Tamandua tetradactyla: one gene and its partner. The protein of the gene in region 1 purifies or fractionates together with the protein of each later gene. This does not show direct contact. Links are inferred from orthologs where the notes say so. Each region holds a gene or a part of one and is shown on either strand. Other genes may lie near its edges.

Region 1 (10,401 bases):
AATTATCCAAAATGTACAGTCAATGGCCCACAAAGTCATCATTCAGCTGCGCATTCATCAGCACAATTGACTTTTTTTTTCTTTTCTGTGAAAAATAGCATATATATATAAAGCAATAAATTTCAAAGCACAGTGCAACAATTAGTTGTAGAACAGATGTCAGAGTTTGGTATGGGTTACAATTCCACGATTTTAGGTTTTTTACTTCTAGCTGCTCTAAGATACTGGAGACTAAAAGAAGTATCAATATAATGGTTGAGCAATTGTACTCATTTGTTAAACCTGACCTTCTCTGTATAACTCCACCATCACCTTTGATCTTTCTCCCAATCTTTAGGGGTGTTGGGGCTATGTCCACTCTAACTTTTTCATGTTGGAAGGGTCTGTCACTAATATGGAGTAGGGAGATGGAACTAGCTGATGTTCTGGAGAGGCTGGGCCCTCTAGGTTTCAGGACTTACCTGGTCCAGGGACCCATCTGGAAGTTGTAGGCTTCTGGAAAGTTACCCTAGTGCCTGGAACCTTTATAGAATCTTATATATTGACCTAGGTGTTCTTAAGGATTGGCAGGAATGGTCCTGGTTGGGGTTTGGCAAGTTATGATAGGTAGCAATGTCTAACTGAGGTTTGCCTTAAGAGTGCCTCCAGAGCCGCCAGATTTAAAAATTTTTTAATCTTCTTATGGAAATGTATATAAGACAATTTGCCATTTGACCCGTTTCTAAGTGCACCATTCATGGCGTTGTGCTCTCATCACCACCGTCCTGGGCAAAAACCCTCCCATCACCTCAAAACGAAACTCTGCGCTCATCAGGCAATAACCTTCCATGCTCTGTCACGCTCCAGCCCCTGGTGACTTCCGGTCTTTCTGTTTCTATGAATCTGCTTATTCTGGACATTTCAGATGAGTGGAATCATACAATATTTGTTCTTTTGCACCTGACATCTCACTCAACATGATACCTTCGAGGTCTACCCATTTTGTCGCATGTATCAATACATCACTCCTTTTCACGGCTGAGTGATATTCCAGTGTGTGTGTGTGTGCGTGCACACACACACCACACTTTGTTCATCCGTTTGACTGATGGACGCCTGTGTTGTCTCCGCCTGCTGGCAACCATGAACGATGCCACTGCGAACCCCAATGTGCAGTTGTCCCTTGGGTCCCTGCTTCCCATTCTTTCGAGCCTCCAGTTCCTTTTAAAAACTGACATTGATATAATCCGTCATGCCCTCTACATCCCGCCTGCTTTAGACTGGCTTTCTGTCAACATTGTAACTGTGACCTGCAGCTAAGCCACTCAGACTGCCCTGCTCAATCCCACATTCGGCCACTGAGCACATGAAAAAATCAGCAAAATACCTCATTAAAAATTCTCAATGTAGATAACATGTTGAAGTGACAATGTTTTCGATATGTCCGTTTAAAGTATATTATTAAAATTAATTTCACTTGGGTTTTTTGCTAGCTTGTTTGATTTTCTAACATGGCTACCAGAAAACTGAAGCTGACAGAGGCAATTCTCGTTGGCGGCCTGCGTTATATTTCCAGGAAGGGCACTCATCTAGATCATTCCATTCAGCTGCCCGCAGTCTGATTCTAATTGGTGAATAACTACTGTTTACTGTGCGCAGAGACCTTCCCGAGGGCCTCACATGTAATGACTCATTCATCCCCCGTGAAGTTGCATGAGGTTAAGCAATTGTTAAACAAGGTGAAGTTAAAGAATTGTCCAAAGTCCCAGGACTTCACCAAAGCTGAGCTGGGATGGGGCGGCCAGCAGGTGCCTCCAGGGCCTGGACTCGGAGCCACCAAGGTGACTGGAACTAGCCAAGAAAGAGTGCAAACCTGCCTAAGCACGCCATACCCAGAGAGGTCAACTTCACAAAGTTTACAGCATCAAACTCTCCTTTCATACCAGGGAAGCACCTGCCCGTTCTGACGTTTAGCAGAGCTGCTATAAACACACATTTGTTGTGGCAATTTCAGCTTTAATGAAACCAGCTCAGGCAGTATTTTTCTGACATCTGCTTGCAGTGTTATGAAGTCAGCTTTTCTCTTGGCCAGTAATGAAATTAACTATTTTTAGGGCAAACCGTCAATGTGGTATACTTGTCCAGGCTTGCTACGCTTTCAATTTGTTTTTCTTTAGCCATATCTATTTATACCTGAAGTATTTTTGTTGTTTTTAAAGACATTCTGTCAAGGATAAAGTTAAGGCTTTATAAAGTAGACTGGGAGAAGAAAATGGGGATATTATCGATAGATACTGGATTGCCTTCTGAATTCTAATCTTTTGGATGCAAAGGTTCAGAATTGGAAGGGCTTGGAATCAGGCAAACTTCTCTGCTTTTTTGCTGTGTGAGCCAGAGGCCCGTATCCAAACCATCATAAGCCTTGGTTTACTCATCTATAAAATAGGGCTTCTCCAGCCACCTTCAGGAACCGCTTTGTGAATTAAACGAGGCGATGGCTATAGCTCAGCTCCTTTTATCTCGTTCACCCCATGGCAATGTGGGAGGTGCTACCATCATCATCACCGTCACAGCTACTCCTTCTGGTCCTTTTGTCCTGTGAGTAGTTTCCACATGACTCCAGAGGTGCCCATTTGGCCTCATCACAGCAGCCTTTCCCCTCCACGCTCTACCAGAATCCTGAACTGTCCCTTAGCGGGGAGACATCTACAGTTAGAAGAGAACCCTGTCGCCCTCTTTCCGTCCCTCCTCGCCATCTCTCTGAGAGAAAAGGGCTGAGGCCCGTAACCAAAGCTCTCGTCACACTCCCTAATGCCCACTCCCTGTGGCATACTCGTGCTGCCCAAGGGCCTGCCCCCACGTGCACCTTCCCAGTGCATCTGGAAATGCCAGCAATGGCGCTTTTCCTGAGCATGGCCATCATGTCCTCACGCTCTCCTGCTCATCATGCTGCCTGAAGATGGGCTCCTTGCCTTTCCTCACTGCCCAGGATGGGAGACGGAAGAAGGACAGGCTACACCCACCTAGAGCATTCCTAGTCCATGTTTGCCTCCGCTGACTTGCTAAGCCTAGAATGGGGATCCCCCTTGCCCAGAAATTTCTGGTACAGCCCTCTCATCATACCTGTTTTGAGAATAGTCACAAGCCCACTGTGATGGCTATTTTCACGTGTCAACTTGGCTAGGTCATGTGGTGCAACTGTCTGGTAAAGGAAGCATTGTCCTGATGGCTACTGTGAGAGTATTTTGTAGATGGATTTGCATCTACAATCAGTTGATTGCATCTACGGCCGACTGTATCTACAATCGACAGCAGAGATTGCCCTTAGCAATGAGGAGAGTCTCTTCATCCAATCAAGTGGAGGCCTTAAAGGCAGAACTGATGACTTCAGAAGTCAAAAGGAAGAATTCCTGCTTCTGTGTGTTAGTTTACTAGGCTGCTCCAGCAAATACCATGAAATGGGTTGGCTTAAACAATGGGAATTTATTAGCTTATAGTTTTGAGGCCAGGAAAATGTCCAAATCAAGGCATCATCAAGGTGATGCTTTATTCCTGAAGACCAGCTGCTGGTGACCCTTGGCTTCTCTGCCACATGCCAAGGCACACGGTGGTATCTGCTGGTCTCTCCCTTCTCTTCTAGGTTTCATTGATTTCAGCTTTTTGCTTCCGTGGCTCTCTCTTTCTCTGCATTTCACTCTCTTCTAAAGAACTCAGTATTAGAGTACGGCCCATCCTGAATGAGGTGGGTCACACCTTAACTGAAGTAGCCTCATCAAAAGATCCTACTTTCAATGGGTCCGCACCTACAGGAATAGATTAAATTTAAGCATATGCTTTTTTCTACTTCAGCTAGCCTGCTTCTCTCAGGGGATTCATCCTCACCTTCGTCAGAATACCCAATCTTAAGCCTTCCATACAGAGTTGGTGTTTGTCAATCCTCACGTGTGCCGGTTTGAATCTGTGGTGGACCCCAGAAAACCCAAAAGTTCTTTAATCCTCACTCAATATTGCTGGGTGGAGGCTTTTTGAATGTTCCCACGGAGATGTGACCCACCCAATTGAGGGTGGTCACTTCTGATTAGGTGATTTCCATGGAGATGTGTCTCCACCCATTCAAGGTGGGGTTGCTTACTGGAGCCCTTTAAGAGGGAAACATTTTGGAAAAAGCTTTAGAGCTCACAGAGCCAGAGACCTTTGGAGTTGAAGAAGGAAAATGCCCCTGGGGGACCTCCATGAAACAGGAAGCCAGGAAAGAAAGCTAGCAGATGTCGTCATGTTCACCATGTGCCTTTCCATTGGAGAGAGAAACTCTGAACGTCATCCGCCTTCTTGAACCCAGGGATCTTTCCCTGGATGCCTTCGATTGGACGTTTCTATAGCCTTACTTTAATTGGGACATTTTCACAACTTTAGAACATGTAAACTTACAACTTAATAAATTTCCCTTTTTAAAAGCCATTCCATTTCTGTTATATCACATTTCTAGCAGCTTGCGTTGCCCCAGACAATTCCTAAAATAAAACTCTCACTATTTACATATTCTGTTGCTCTGGCAAACCCCAATACACCCACCAAAACCCCACCTCTCTGGCCTGGGATGCTAGGAGGTCCTTGTGCAAATGAGACCTTTGGGGTCAGCCACATGACTGCATTCCAGGGCGATGCGGTTGAGGCTCGCCGCGACCCTGAACCAGGTAAGGCTGTAGGTGTGATGAAGCTGGTCCGCCGCGAGTACCTGAGGCCATTTTCCCTCCGGCGGCGATACTGACCCATCCCTCTGTCTTCTGTGGGCGTTGGGACTGTCCCCCTCCTTTAGAAGTCCGCCCAGCCCCTGCGGCCAGCAGGTGCTCTCGCCACCTCGTCGGCCGGCCTCCGCAGTCCTAGGAGTTCTGCAGGCCCACAGCTGGCCGTCTCTGGACCCTTCGGGCTGGCCCAGGGTGCGGCCGCGGGAGAGCGGCGCCAGCCCGGGTGGCGTCTTCTCCTGGGCGCGGTGGGGTACGGCCAGTCCCCCGCCCCGCCATTCCCGTGGGCCCCCCCGGAGGCCCCCCAGGAGGCCCTGCAGGGGCTGGGCCGCGCCAGGCCTAGTCATCTCACGGCTTCCGGCTTTGGTTGCCTTTCTATCCTCGTCGTCAGCAGAACAGAAATAAAGACTGTGTTATTTTTGGAAATAAATCTCCTAATTCTGAGTAGTTAATAATTGAGTTATCCTGACCCACAGCTCATGCAGGCCACCCCAGGCCCGCCAACACGCCGTCGCCTAGCAACAGCATTCCCCACCCGCTCCCTGCGCTTCGGCTCCGCCCAGGCGGCAGTGCGCACGCGCAGAGCCGCCTCCGCGCCCCGACGCCGCGCAGTAGTGACGTGTGCGACCCGCGACGCTTCCGGTGGGTGGGCTCTTCCGGGGCGGCCTGCTGACCGACTGACCGTGCCTCCCGTGCCATGTCCTCCTCCGGGGTGGCCGGCGGGCGTCAGGCCGAGGATATCTTACCGCCGCCCGCCGAGCCGTCGCTGCCCGAGACCAAGCCGCTGCCGCCGCCCCAGCCGCCGCCGCCGGCCGCCGCGTCCCAGCCGCAGCCGTCGCCGGCACCGAGGCCGCAGTCCCCCGCGGGCGTGAAGGAGGAGGAGAACTACTCCTTTTTACCTCTGGTGCACAACATCATCAAATGGTAAGGGCCTCCAGGAGGACTCGCCCGCGACGTTCCCGCCTGCCTCTTACACCCGTTTCAGAGCTGAAGAGGCCTGGGCTCTCTTAGGCCCGTCCCGTTTTACAGATGGGGAAACTGAGACCCAGAGGGAGAAGAGAACTTCCCGAGACCACACAGGGACCTTCCAGGCATTCAGCAAACGCTCTGAGCCCTCAGAGTGGCCAGGCCCCTGATGGCTGGTTGATGTGAACAAAAACGAAGCCAGTTTAGAGACTGAGTGCACTGGCTTTGGTATGAAAGGGCTCGCATGAAGTCAGTTAAGCCTCTGTGACCTCAGTTTCTCACTTCTAATATCCGGATAATAGAACCCTTCTTCCTTTTTTCATTTAGCCAAAAGTTATGGCTCTTCTTCCCTGTGTGGCGCTACTTGCTAGGGGATGTTCGGATTTAAAAACGCTGTATTAGTTTAAGCTGCCAGAATGCAATATACCAGAAACAAGGGGCTTTTAAAAGGGGATTCAATAGTTACAAGTTTACAGTTCTAAGGCGGTGAAAATGTCTAAATTAAGGCACCCGTAAAAGGTTACCTTCAAGAAAGGCTCCCGCCCTCTGAAACACCTCTGTCAGCTGCAAAGGCACGTGGCTGGCGGCTGCTGGTCCTTGTTCCCAATTCTGTTGCTTCCAGCTTCTGATGCCAGTGGTTTCCTTTCTAAGCATCTGTGTGCCTTCACTTCGCATCTTTGGAACACAGTTCTGGGTTCTAGTTTACTTAGCATCTCATGGGTACGGGCATGTGCTCTCTCTGTGTTGGAAGCATCTTTAAACATCCATGTCTCTGTCAGCTCCGAAGCAGTTGTTCTCCAAGCTTCTGTATCTGTGTCAGCTCTGAGCTCCCTCCAAAATATTTCTCCCTTTAAAGACTCCAGTGAACTAATCAGGACCCACCTGAGATGGGTGGAGTCATATTCCATCTAATCGAAAGGTCACACCAGCAACTGGAAGTGCCACATCTCTGGTGATAATCTAATCAAAGGGTTTCTGCCTTACAATATTAAATCAGGATTAAAGGAAACAGCTGTCCCCACAAGATTGGATCAGAATTAGAACATGGCTTTTCTAAGGTACATAATAGTTTCAAAGCGGCACAAGAGCCAAGTTTTCACCCCCATATTTCTTACCAGCTAGTAGAAAAACCCTGACATGAATATGAATAGCCCATAATTCAGACAAGAGAGGAGAGGGGCGGATGAGGGGGAATCTTAAAGTTGCCCCACTGGATTAGATCCCCTGATTTGACCTTCATTCTAGCATGGTTATCAGAGGGGGTGGTTTGTCATCCTTTTGACCAGCCTTCAGGTAAGCCTGAATTTTCAAACTGACCCCTAAAAAGGAAAAAAAGTTTCTCTAAACCCCATATGTACTTAAATTATTTTTCTTGTTATATTACTTGAATATATAGTCACATAATACTAGGTGTGCTTATGCTTAGAACCCTTATTCAAAATGAAGTACATTAAAATTACCACTTCAGGAAAGTTCAAACGAGCATTAATGTGCTCTGTGAGGTTTTGCTGAAATGAAATTGCTACTCACAACACGAACATACTATTGACAGCCTAAATTCTTTTGAGGTTAGCCACCCTCAGTTCACTTGTCATGGGTGACATGACGTTTCCACTGCTGTTTTATTCAGACAGCTCCAAGACCCTTGCTAGGCCCTGATGCCCGTGGGCTTTGCCTGGTGTGAGCGCACCATGTGTAACTTAGGGCAGACTCGTTAGTGTGACGGTCAGGTAGGGCAGACTCTCAGGTAGTATTTCCTGGCAGCAAACAGAAAAGCAGATGCAGACCCTGCAGTCCTGGCAGAAATGAATTATAAAGGCCTTAGCCAGGTTAACACGAATATGCATACCAATTTTAAGAAAGCTCCAAAATGAGAACAGAAGGCCCAGATGCTTAGAGATACCTCTTGGACCCACAGGAGGTGCGTTCCTGAGCCCTAGAGGAGCAATGGGCTTGGGCAGTTGAGTATACTAGAGAGAACACAGGCTTCGGAGGCAGAAGGCCTGCATTCAGATCTGTGCGCTGATGCCTTCTTACTTTATAATCTTGCTAAATACTTAACTTTTCTAAGTCTTAATTTTCTTAACTCTAAAATGTGAAAAACATGAGTTCACATTACAGCTCTGAAACTTACTGACTGGGTGACCTTGGGCAAGTAACTTAAATTCTCTGTGATTCTTTTTCTCTTATGAAAGGGATAGTTTTTAGAAGCATAAAGCGAAAGAACAGGATAAAATATGGTTACCACAAAGTGGACACCCAGCCCTTAGCAGTCTGAATCCCAAGCCGAAAGCAGTCTGCCCTACAGAGAGCCAGGGCCTCCCCCAAAATCTCAGGAGTTGGCAATGCCAGGAACTGGAGTAGGGGTGAAGGTGAGAGACCACCAAGGATCACCTAAAAGTAAGCCAGATCTCAGTCTTCTGCCCCGGCTCCAGGCCACCAGATGACTGCCCTTCTTCCGTCTTTGCAGAGGATGAGAGGGCTGTTTTTTTTTAGGAAAGAGTCAGCCAGAGAATCTCTGGACTAGGAGACTGTGGGCACCCTTCAGGTATCAGGGGGAGCCATACTGAAAATTGGGACAGAGAGAATGCTGGCAAACTGCAGGGTGCCTTCCACCCCCCCCCAGGCTGCTTCTGGCGGGCTTGTTCCCTTTCAGGCAGGAGTGTGGGGCAGTCTCTGGGGGTCTGACCAGCCCAAGAGAAGAGACGCGGCTGCCCCAAGCATAGCTGAGTCCAGTCATTAGATACTCATGCTGACGCTCAGAGGGTCTGTTAAGCCTCGGAGTGTTTGACCCTTAAACCTGTGACTGGGCAGCTGAGATCGCTGAGCATTTGGAGATAAACCCTGTAAGAAAGAGGACAAAACAGAATCCAGGAAAAGCCACTTGGAGGAAGCAGTAGGCTCTGAGCGATGAAGAGAGAGTGTTGCTGTGAAAAAAAGACTAGGATCCAATTAAAAATGTCATTATATAGGCATCTATTTGACTTTCTAGGCTCGTGAGAGAAAGATATGGAATGTAAGTGGCAGGTGGAAGTATGCATGAGGAGCAAGGAAGAGGCAGCCTCTTCCCGCTTGGAGGTGTCAGAACGCCTGAGGGATGATGCCAGAAGCGAGTCTGAAAGGGAAGAGGGAGGCAAAGTGCTGGAGGGGGAGGATGGGTGAAGACTGGAAGCCGGGCAGCAGCGTGCTTGGGGAGGGGCCATCAGTTTGCCTTGCAGGAGTGTGAGAGCCCACAGTGGGTGGGGCAGGAAGGAAGAGCCAGAAAGGAGGGAAGAACTTGGATGCTGCGGCCAGTGCACCCCCTGAAGGAGCAGGGTTGGGGAGCCAGGGATGACCTGCCCTGACGGATGCCTGAGGTGGGTGCGGCTGCAGCAGTCCTGGGAGGCGGGGTGGGGCTGGGCCAGTCCTTTGACTCTCTGTCTACTCCTTCTCCAGGGGTGAATAAGGAACAGACCTCAAGGAGTCAGTGTGGTCTTTCTTGTTCTCACAAAGGATTCAGAGTGCCACATCATTAAAGTTTCTTTAAAAATGTATTTAATAAACATAACAATGGCAAATTCACAAATACAGAGAGGTACGAAATGAAATAATGTTCCTTCCCCCAAACGCTTCACCAGCAATAAATGCTGTCAATATGTAAGTATCCTTCTAGAAATTATATATGCATATTTTTTAAATGTTATGCAAATTGAGATCATACCATACTTTGCTTTTTTTACTTTATAGTGTATTTTGGAGCCTTTTTCATGGTGCACAAAATGATCTATCCCCTAAAGCAGCTGCAGAAAATTCCATCTTACGAGTACACTTTGGTTGATGTGACTAACTAGTCTTCTGTACATGGACTTTTAGGTGTTTTTCTAAGTTTTTGCTCTGACCAGTAATGCTGGGATAAGTGTCTTTGTATTCGAGTGACTTTATTGTGAAATAAATCCTCAGCAGTGGAATTGCGGGATTGGAGGGTATTTTTTTAAAATTGTGATAGCTATTGCTAAATGTAGAATGTTGTATTTTTTTAATTGTTAAATATAACATACATACATAGAAAAGTAAAAAAACAATGATTTTCAAAGTGTACTTCATTACGTAGATACAGAACAGATTTCAGAGTTTGTTATGGGTTACCATTCCACTATTTCAGATTTTCCTTCTAGCTACTTCAAAACACTGGAGGCTAGAAGAAATGTACTCTTTCTTTTTTTTGTGAAAAATAACATATATACTAAAAAGCAATAAATTTCTAAGCACATCGCAACAATTGGTTGTAGAACAGATTTCAGAGTTTGATATGAGTTACAATTCCACTGTTTTAGGTTTTTACTTCTAGCTACTCTAAGATACTGGAGACTAAAAGAAATACCAATATAATGATTCAGCACTCATACTCATTTGTTAAACCCTACTTTCTCTGTGTAGCTCCACCTTTTCCTTTGTCTTTCTCCCACTCTTGAGGGGTGTTTGGCCTATGGCCATTCTAACTTTTTCGTTCGAAGGGGCTGTTGATAGTATGGGGTAGGGAGATGGAACCAGTTGATGTTATGGGGAGGTTGGCCTCTCTGTATTTCGGGGCTTATCTGACCATCTGGAGTTTGTAGGTTTCTGGAAAGTTACCCTGGTACATGGAACCTTTGTAGAATCTTATATAATGCCGTATTGGCAGGCTTGGTTTTGGTTGGAGTTTGGCATAGGTAACAATGTCTAACTGCAGCTTGCG
Region 2 (10,499 bases), on another chromosome or scaffold:
TGAAATTGATTCTTAAGAAAAACAGAAAAGAAATAAAAATGTAAGTTATACCTGGAGAGGGTCACAAGAAAATATCTTACAAGGGAGATGGAAATAGTTTTCTTCAGCATTTGTGTTTAGGAAGATGAAATAAAGGGAGGTGCAAGGGTAGTTCAGTGGTAGAATTCTCACCTGCCATGCAGAACACCTGGGCTTGATTCCAGGGCCATGCATTTTCCCAAACAAACAAATGAACCAACAAAGGCAAATAAACTAACAAAAAATTCAATAAACGGTACTGCAATAATAGGATACTCACATGGAAAAAAAAATGAAATGCTACCCTGTCCATAGAGCATACACACACACACACAAAGAAAAAGAAAAAAAGAAAAAGCACAATAAAATTCCTTTCAGTAAGGAAAAATTTTTAACCTTTTTAAAGCAGAGAGCCTATTATTTCTATTTCACAACAAAATTTTTTAGTTCAGTTTGGGTAACACTGGTTTAAGGCATCAAATGAATCTATCTGTAAAATTGGCATGGATGGAAACTACTAGTGTTGTAAGACCTTTCACATTTAAAAACTTGAGGATCTCATTTTGCTGGCTGGAATATTTTGCAAATTTTTGCCTTTCTGATACAACTGCTTCACAATAAGGTATAAATGACTAACATAACTGCTATCCTAGACCCAACTGGCTCTGAAAGGTAAGAATTAGTTGATGAAGTTGAAGTGACAGAACAGAACACTATTAGAAAGCAGCATTGTTATGGTGACATTATTGATTACTAAGGAATCAAAAACTGGGCACAATTACTTTAGGAGGGTAGAAAAAAGTTAAATGATCAACGTGATTCTTTGACACAGGATACTGGCTAGAATACAATTCTGAGAGTGAAATTATAAGTGATCCTGATGAGGCAAAGGAAGGAAAAATACTTAAGAACTTGGTGTTCTATCACAGGGTGTGCTGGTTTGAAAGGAAGTACGCCCCCTAAGAAAAGCCATGTTTTAATATAAATCCCATTTCATAAAGGTAGAATAATCCCTACTCAATACTGTATATTTGAAACTGTAATGAGATCATCTCCCGGGTTGATGTGATTTAGTCAAGAGTGGTTGTTAAACTGGATTAAGGGACGACATGTCTCCACCCATTTGGATGGGTCTTGATTGGTTTATTGGAGTCCTACAAAAGAGGAAACATTTTGGAGAGAGAGATTCAGGGAGAGCAACACTATGAAGCTGAGAGTCCACCAGCCAGTGATCTTCGGAGATGAAGAAGGAAGATGCCTCCCGGGGAGCTTCATGAAACAGGAAGCCAGGAGAGAAAGCTAGAAGATGACGCTGTATTTGCCATGTGCCCTTCCAGATGCGAGAGAAACCCTGAGTGTGTTTGCCATGTGCCTTCTCATTTGAGAGAGAAACACTGAACTTCATCAGCCTTCTTGAACCAAGGTATCTTTCCCTGGATGCCTTTGATTGGACATTTCTATAGACTTGTTTTAATTGGGACATTTTCTCAGCCTTAGAACTGTAAACCAGCAACTTATTAAATTCCCCTTGTTAAAAGCCATTTCATTTCTGGTATATTGCATTCCGGCAGCTAGCAAACTAGAACACAGGGAGATACAGACATAATTAAGTGAATTAGAAACTGGTCAGTAACCAGATTCAAAGGATACTGATTAACAGATCTGTTGCAAGAAACAAGCTTGAATCAATCAACAACTTGGATGAAAATCAAAACTGCAAATGAAAATAAAATTTGCAAGATCGAAAGCTGCCATGAGATCCTACAATTGGATTCAAATGATGTATAAAGGCAGGACAGGTAGAGTTAACCCTATTCCAAACTAAACTCATCTGAGGGCACTGATGCAAAAATTCAGTTCTGAGTATCATACTTTAAGAAAAACAAAAGAAATAAAACATTCTGAAAGGCAGCATGGGATGATGAATAAATGGTTGTGGCCCTATCTCTCAAAGAGAATAGCTGTAGGAAAGGAAGACAAATTACCTGGATTATGTCAGCATGCGTGTTCAATGTTCATCAGATGAACAAATGAAAGAGAAGAAAAGGGTAAGGATAGAAGGACAATGAGAGAGGACATTGACCTTTAAAATAATCAAGGTCTTGTAAGGAAATTACATTGGCATTACATTGGTTTCATAGAACTTCAAGAATGGGTCTAACATACAGGGAAACTCTTCAGCTGAACACAAAGAGAATCAAAGACTAAATGGGTTACCTGGGGAGGTAAAGTGATACTGCTTTAGCTGATGGGTGAGTCACTCTTAAGTTCAAGCTGGATGACCTTTTCATGTATGTGTTATAAAGGGAATTCAAGCATGGAATAAGTAGTTGAACTGCAGCAGTAATGTCTGAGATTTCCTTCCAACCTCAAAGGTCTAGGATTCTGTAAATGTCTCTTAACCAACATTAACACCCACAATGATAATGCAAATAGGTTGTCAGCAGTGAAGTCTACCAAATATAATGCAGTACTAGAAGGTATATGGAGTCATCTGTGAATTGCTTCTATGAATGAATCAGAACTGAGTCTAAAATGAAAGTATAGTCCCTTTTCTTGTTTCTGCCAATTAATACAGTACTTACACAATGACAGTTAATATTTCTAAAACAAACCAATACATACACAATTTTCCTTTGTAATTCCAGGAGTATCATAAAACCAGTGGGAATCTTTCACATCTTGTGGGGTCAATTCTACTTTTTTGGTGGATTTTTCTGCAACCAGAACAGGTTCATTTTCCATGTCAACGGCAAGTGAATCAGCATCAAACTCAAAGGCAGCTTCATCCGTCTTTTCTTTTGAGTATAGGAATGTTTTTCCAACTCTTCCTGGAATAAGTTATCAGGTGCTCCTTTAAAACTTTTGACTCCAGACAGTTTTTTGCTTGTTTCAAATAAATTACTAACTACAGCAAATGGAAACAATGCTATCTTTGTAACAAAGCATGAGAGTTACACTGTTGCAATGATCAAGTGTGTGTCTGGCTGGGCACACATGGGGGGTGGGGGAAGGTTGGAAATCAAACTTTTTAATAAAGGAAGGCTGAAAAGGGATACCAAGGAAAGGGGACAGCTCAGTTTTTAAGCTGCTGCATGAAATGAACAGTCTTTACTATCTGTAACGGTCTACCTGGCAGAGGGAATAGCTTGGGGAAAATGCTTCTACCACTGACATTGTCTAGGTGGACAGTTATTGCATGCTTCCTTTCCTGGACTTCTCTAAGTATCACAATCTCCATTTTCACAGATTACTGAACTTCCAAAAAGTAGCCATGCTTTAAAAGGGCTCTAAGTTCTAATGACCAGACAGCTGTATTTCAGGTTGCTCAACAAAGAATTTTGGCATAGAACCATTACGTTTTCCTGTGGAAGATGCTTACCTACTATATAACCATGCTTTTTCAAGATATTAAGTTGACTTTGTTCTTGCTTAGTAAGAGCTTCTTCAGATTCAGCCGCATCTTTTTTAAGCCTCTTGTGCCTTTCAAACATTCTGTAAGGAGTTGGGTTGCAAATAGGAAACCTAAGAAGGTTTAATGTAGTACCTGAAATACCAAAGAATAAGTATGTTTTTATAAACATTGTACCAAAAAAGGGAGTAAAAGGAGGAAAACTATCAGTTTTGAGGAGCTACACTGTGTTCTATCTTAATCAACCCTTGATATGACCCTCTATAAAATTATTTTCATTTTAGAGATGAGGAAACAGTCTCAGAGACTGGATCATAGCCTAGACTAGGATTTGAATTCTAGTTCCTGTAGGCTTAAATTTTTTCCATTTTCACCATGCTACCATTCAGTACAAAAGCACGTCTATGTATAATGCAACTAAAGTGTAAGCAAGATAGGGAAGAAAAACAGTTTACCAAACAAAATTAAACTGATTTCAAAGGAATAAACGGGGCAGCTAGTAACACTAAAGAGTCAACTGTTAAATACAAACATGGTCACAGAAGGAGCCATTTACAGAAACTTCTGTGACAAAGTAGACATTTCTTCTCAACAAAGCCACATATATTGCATTAGTGAATTACTCAAATGTTAAACATGCATAGCATACTTTCTCATGAATAAACTCAAGACGTGGGGAGTAGGATTGCAGAGTGAAAGGAAGTTCATGGAGTAAAAGGAAGCACGACTTTTGGGAGGAACATAAAACTAGAAGGCTATAAGGGAAACGTCCAAGAGGGTAGGACGTTTCCTGGCGTATCGCCATTTCCTAGAACAGCGACTGACACAAAGAAGTGCTCCATAAGTATTTCCACTAGAAAATTAGTAAAAAAATATATAGTATCTCCAAGCACTAAACTGACTCAGAAAAGAGACTAGTGTCCTAAGGAGAGAATTTTAAAAGGAAAGATTCCAGGCACCCCCTGGTGGACATTATACAGAGATGTAATCGGAGCCTCGGGCCACCACCAGACATCCGTCTTCTCAGAGAGCGAAAAAGGCCGAGGCTCTTAAGGCTCACCTGGCCATGGGGAGATGGTAGCTCTGTCGATGGCCTCCGCGCCCTTGGCGGTGCAGTAGTCCGACTCCAGGAGTGTGTTGAAGAGAGTGGACTTGCCGGCGTTGGTGCCGCCGACCAGGTAGACATCGCCGCGGTAGCGCCAAGAGCGCTGAAGCGCGGTGATCAACTCTTCCACCCCGTAACCGGTCTTGGCGCTGATCAGCCGCACGTCCCTGAGCACCGTACGGTGCTGGGACGGCGGATTCCGTTTCTCCGCCAGCTCCCGAGACCCATTTCTGCCCGGGTCCTGTGGCCCCTGGTGGCTAGGGGATGGCCGGAGCCCGGCGCGGACACAGTCATCCCAAAGACGATCGCGGAGCCGACGACGGTAGCCCGGGGTGTCTTGGGGCAGCAGGTCCACCTTGTTCCCCAGCACGATCAGCTGCTTGGGGCCCACCATCGCAGGCAGGTCGGGCAGCAGGGCATCGGGCAGGTCCAGCAGATCTACCATGTAGAGCACCAAGGAGGGCCCGGGTCGCCGCAGTGCGGCGCTCACCAGCTCCAGGTACTGCTCGCGGCTCACCTGCACGCGCAGGGCGCGCTGGTGGTGCACCAGTAGCCAGCAGCGCTGGCACACCGTCCGCGCTAGCCCGCCGTCCTCCTGCGCCGCTGCACTGAGGAACTTCTCGCTGGGCAGGTAGCCAGGCACGCTGGGATCCTGGCAATGTAACTCCGCTCCACAGCCCGAGCAGCTCACGCCGCTGGACGGCACCGCCGGGTCTGGATGCCCCATTATCTGGTGCTCCCGACATCTGGCCCGTACCTTCTGCAGCTGCCGCTGCTCCCGCCGCCGTTGCCTCTGCCGCTCCTCCTCCTCCTGCCGCTGCCGTAGCTCCTCCAGCAGCTCTTCGGAGGTCGGTGCGGGCTTTGACTCCAGGATGTACTCGGGGAACAGAAAACGCTCCTCCAAGTCGGGACTTCCACCATAGTCCCGAGTCGCCGTCGGGCCACGAGGAAACTCACGTCCCAGGTTGGAGAAGTGCTGGAAGAAGGAAGCGGCCGTACATCCCCTCCCGAGAAGGGGCTCCGGGAGGCCATGGCGCACTACCACGGGAGCCGATCCCCACAGTAAAGGCCACAGAACTCGGCGCGTTAGAAACGCGGGCAGCATGAGGAACACCGCCCTCCGGCAAAGAGGCGGAGACACGTGCGCACACGCGCACTGGGGCCGGGAGACGAGCTCCTGCTGGTGCCTGGGAGTGGTCACTTGTCACCTGCCTCATCCGGTTCTTCTTTCCACGTCTCATCCCGTGAATTCTCGCGATTGGAGCGCTCTGCTGCAATTGCACCAAGGCCCTAAATAGAAACCTAGACCGGCAGAAGATGATAATGAGCGCTTTGGTTTGTTCATTAAGCTTCTTCAGTGCGCCTCCGCCGGCAAGCCCCTTTCTCCCCTTAGTAAATCACATTTTTGAAAAGCTTAGTGATTTTTGGATTTCAGGAGTGCAAAAAAATAGAAGTGCGGACTCACGGGTCACAATTAAAATCTTTTATTAATAAATCTTTTTGGTTTTTTTGCAGGAGCAAAAAAATGTAACAACAGTGAAAAAACAAAAATCTTCCCAGATATCTTTTGCTGACCGGATCCGACAGGCAAACTACAGTCAGAACTAGCAATCAGCCACGGCGCCATCGGTTTACAATTTGCGCATGCGCAAATTTAACCCCGGACAACCTTACGCTACTATTTGCGCAGACTCAATCCTACAGTTGACTTCTCGTGGGAGGGTTTTAGGTGTAAAACGCAGAGTATTCTGGGAACGTCCCAGACGGAAGTCGTATGGTTTGTGTCTCTGGTTTGCTGCTGCTGCGCTGCATTCTCTCTCAGATTTCTAGAGTTAAGAGCTCGGGAACCGGTTGCCAAAATGTATGACGCGGATGAGGGTAGGTGACCACTCAAAATACGCTTCACGGTGACCCATTTAGGGAGGGAAATTTGGGGAATTGGGTGGATAGAGGATTTGCGGCCTCCCCTCGCCCACTGCACGAGTGGTTTCAGTCATGCTTCCCTACCCCCGCAGGCCGGGAGCGAAGAACATACTGCGTGGGATGGAAGATGCGGGGAAATAGCGTTGATGGTCTCCATACAGTTGGCTCTTATATTTCCCCTATCTCTATTATCTGTGCTGTTAATTCTGATGTCTCCTTACCGTATTGCAAAAGCGTACGGAATCGTTAAGACAAGTTCGTTGTTTTAACGAGGTCTGAAGCAAAGGGCCCCCTTTTTTATTTTTTGGGTTCACAGTTGTCCTGTTTATTGCGTAGTTCAAATTTTGAGCATCGGTTTTGTGCCAGGCATTGAGCTAGGCCCTGAAAATACACCGGAGACAAAGAATGCAGCAGGGGAAGAGATTGCATCTAGTTTGGCCTACCTTCATGTTTTCTTAAGTCTAAATTGTCTTCAAAAAATTACTTTTAAACTTTCTTCTCCCACAAGATGACACAGTTCTAAGATGGTTCAATATATCTTATTTTCTTTTCACTTATATATTTCTTAGTGTATCTTCATGTTGTGTTTTTAAACCTTCCTCTTCCGTTTCTACAGCTGCTATTTCATACTTCATTCTCTTCGAATTTACCATCCCATGGCCACCCCTCACTCTTTTTTCGTTCCTTTAGCTACTTCTCGGAGAAAATAGAAGCAAAAGCTTAAAATACTGCTCTGACTTCTCTGTCTCATTACATCTTTTATCTAGAAATTTATTAGCATTACATTCCTTTATTCTCTTAATTCCTGTTTCAGTGGGAATAAATTTTTAAAGAAGTTTTTTATCTTATTTTTAAGTAGGTAATATATTTTATGGCTCGCAAGTCAGAAAATACAAAAATGTTGAATGTCAGGATTCATTCTTGTTTATCATGTGTCCACAATAGATTAACAAATGTTCTTAGATTCTTATCGCTTTCCAGTGTATCTTATACATATCCAAGCAAAAATAAATGGGATTCTGTATTTTTCTCCCTTTTACAGGCAAAAAGTAGCACTCACACTTTTCTGTACTTTTTTGTTTGCTTGCTTAATACAGCTAGGAGATTTAAATATCAATAGATAGAAAGCTTTCTCCTTTTATTTTTCTCTACAGCAGCTTACTTTGTGTGGATGTACCATAACTCAAGTCTTTTGCTGATGGGCAGTCCTTTTCTAGTTCAAAGATGTTGTAATGAATAATCTTGTACTTATGTCATTTGTATGTCTGTAGTCTGTAAGGTAACGTATGTCTGTAAGATAAACTCCTACATGTGAAATTGATGTATCAAATGATACATATATTTAACATTTTGATAGATGGTGCCAAATGACCGCCATACCTGAGTACTCCCATCTGCCTCCCCAAAATTCTAGAAGTGGTACTGCAATAACGAGGTAGTCACATGGAAAAAAAATGAAATGTGACCCCCACTACACAGCATACAAAAAAAAAAAAGACGAACATAGTGGTTGTACTAATTTAGTTTCCCAGTGGCAATTTAACTTTTTTAAAAAAAATTAAGCTTATCCTGTCAAGTCTTTGCTCTGGCATCAAGTCTACATTCCATTCCTTTGAAATATTTATTAGATATCCCTTCATCAGTTTTCAGGAATTTCTTTTCACTAGCTTCTTTTTATGAGAAAATATCAGAGCTTTCTCATCCTCAGGAAACCGTTTAAGCCCTCTTTCCATCATTTCCTTTTTCTTCCAAAATTTTGCCTTTCTCCTTCCATTCATAGCTAAGCTTCTAGAAGGAATAGGCTATACATGTTGCTTCTAATTCACGTGGTTCATTTTCTCCTCAACCCTTTGCAGTCGGATTCTGCTCATGCCACTATATTAAAACAGCTCTTAATAGGATAAACAGTGACTTGTCAGTTGATAAATTAGATGAACATTTAAAAAAATATATTTTTACAGTAAAAGCTTAACATACAAATATATATTCTTTGACATAAAAACATACCATACATGGTGTACAATCAATGGCTCATAATATCATCTCACAGTTGTATGTATGTTCATCACCATGATCATTTTTTGAACATCTGCATCACCCCAGCAAAAGAAATGAAAAGAAAAAAGATAACACTCAAACATCCCTCACCCCCCTCTCATTGACCACTAGTGTTACCATCTACCCAATTTATTTTACCCTTTGTCCCCCCCATTATTTATTTATTTATTTTTAATCCATATTTTTTACTCATCTATCCATACCCTGGATATGAGGAGCATCAGACACAAGGTTCTCACAATCACACAGTCACATTATAAATGTTATGTGAACATTTTTAAAACTTCATCTTGAACACTGTGGCATTTGGCATAGTTGTTGACTTTGTCCTGGAAACTCACTCCTCCTTTTGCCATGTCACTTTCGCTTGATTCTTCTTACCTTGCAGACTTTTCTTTTCATTCTCTTCTGTTCACATTCATAGCCACTCTTTCTCCTTGAGGGTTCTGTCTGTTAAGTATGTCAAATCTGGTCATTTCTCTCCTATCCACTCTGTCACAGTTGTGGTTCAGACCACTACCGTCACTTGCCTAGATCACTTCCCCAGACTGGTTTCTCTACCTCCAGTCTTACATCTCCTATCCACTTTCCACATTGTGGCCATAATGGCATAATATCCTTTCCAAAATGAAAGCCTGATAATGCCACACCCCTGCTAGTTTGGTTCCTCAGAACTCTTGATAATGACCAACCCTCCTTACCACTTCCAACTTCCAGTTCAGTGATTTAGCTACATTAACCTTCTTTCATTCCTTGGGTGTGCTACACTCTCCTTTTTTTTTTTTTTTTTTTTGTACGCACATTCATTACAACTTTATTTGTGCTAGCTAAAAATCTCAGCAACAAAAAACAGACACATTGTGAACTTTAGATACTGCAGATGTATACCATAACTTAGATAAATCTCAAAAGCAGCATTCTAAGTGAAAGAAGCCACTTGAAAAGACTACATACTATGTGATTCTATTTATTTGAAATTCTAGAAATACAATTGTAGTGATGGAAGGCAGTAGCAGGAGAGATCATTTTGGACTGATGAAAATGTTCCGTATGATCGTGATGGTGGTTACACACTATACGTTTGTTAAAACTTGCCCATTTGCATACTTAAAGTTGATGAATTTTATTTTATGCAAACTATACTGAATAAAGCCTATTTATGGAAAGAAAAAATAAGGAACGCTTTCCCCCGAAAAAAGCAGAAAAGAGGGCGAATAAGACCTAAGGGTTTCTCAGTTTTAGGCCTTTTCCAGGGGCTTCACTGTCTTTTAATTGTGGAGTCTTTTGTACAAGTTGTTTTCCTCTAGTTAGACTACTTCTTTCTTCCACCCCTCCCACCCACATCCCGTCTTTGCCTGATTTACTCCTTTTCATTAAGTCTGTGCTCACCTTACCTTTTGGGAAGTCTTCCCTGCCCTCTGCAGGTCCTGTTGAGAGTATCTATATCATATTGTTTTGCTTAATTGGCTTAATCTTGTCTCTGTCTCTCCAGTAGGCAATACTCTCCCTAAGAATAGTGCTGTCTTTGTATTGATAAGCTAGCCAGTACCTCTGTCCAGTGCTTGGGACATAGGAGACACTCACACTCAATAAATATTGAATGAATGAATGAATGGATAAATCAGTCTCTTTCATGCCTTCATTTTCCTTCACATAACTCTCAAACAGCAATGTTCCCTAATATCTTGCCTTCATTCTTCCGTTCTGTATGTGACTCCTTAATCTGCCACCCATTTGTTACTGATTCCTAAGTCTTTGTAATTTAGGCCCCTCATTAGCACTTAATGTTCATATATAGTTGCCTGCTGGGAGTTTTTTTTTCATTGTAAAGACTGTATTTGAACAATAGATTATATTAAAACTTTAAATTTAAGGCAAACAAGGGAAAATCTGCAGATAGAGATATCAGCATTTATTGTATCTTTTAGAAGCTTTTAAAGAGATAAATGATCCTCAAGCAGCATTTCCTCTCCCTTTTTCACC

What was found.
Region 2: the proteins of MED9 (region 1) and POLR2B purify together in Homo sapiens (affinity purification with mass spectrometry; 4 studies listed by BioGRID and IntAct, with this or other methods). This does not show direct contact. The link is inferred for Tamandua tetradactyla from reciprocal best matches to the Homo sapiens genes MED9 and POLR2B.

Annotation. Positions count from the first base shown.
Region 1 is NC_135332.1:1,172,192-1,182,592, forward strand, and holds the start of MED9 (mediator of RNA polymerase II transcription subunit 9), read left to right. Parts: upstream 1-5,373; 5' UTR 5,374-5,418; coding exon 5,419-5,645; intron 5,646-10,401.
Region 2 is NC_135345.1:57,598,728-57,609,226, forward strand, and holds the start of POLR2B (DNA-directed RNA polymerase II subunit RPB2), read left to right. Parts: upstream 1-6,273; 5' UTR 6,274-6,394; coding exon 6,395-6,413; intron 6,414-10,499. Other genes in the region: NOA1 (nitric oxide-associated protein 1), read right to left, coding at 2,644-2,849, 3,401-3,565, 4,491-5,640. UniProt on the Homo sapiens protein: Catalytic core component of RNA polymerase II (Pol II), a DNA-dependent RNA polymerase which synthesizes mRNA precursors and many functional non-coding RNAs using the four ribonucleoside triphosphates as substrates.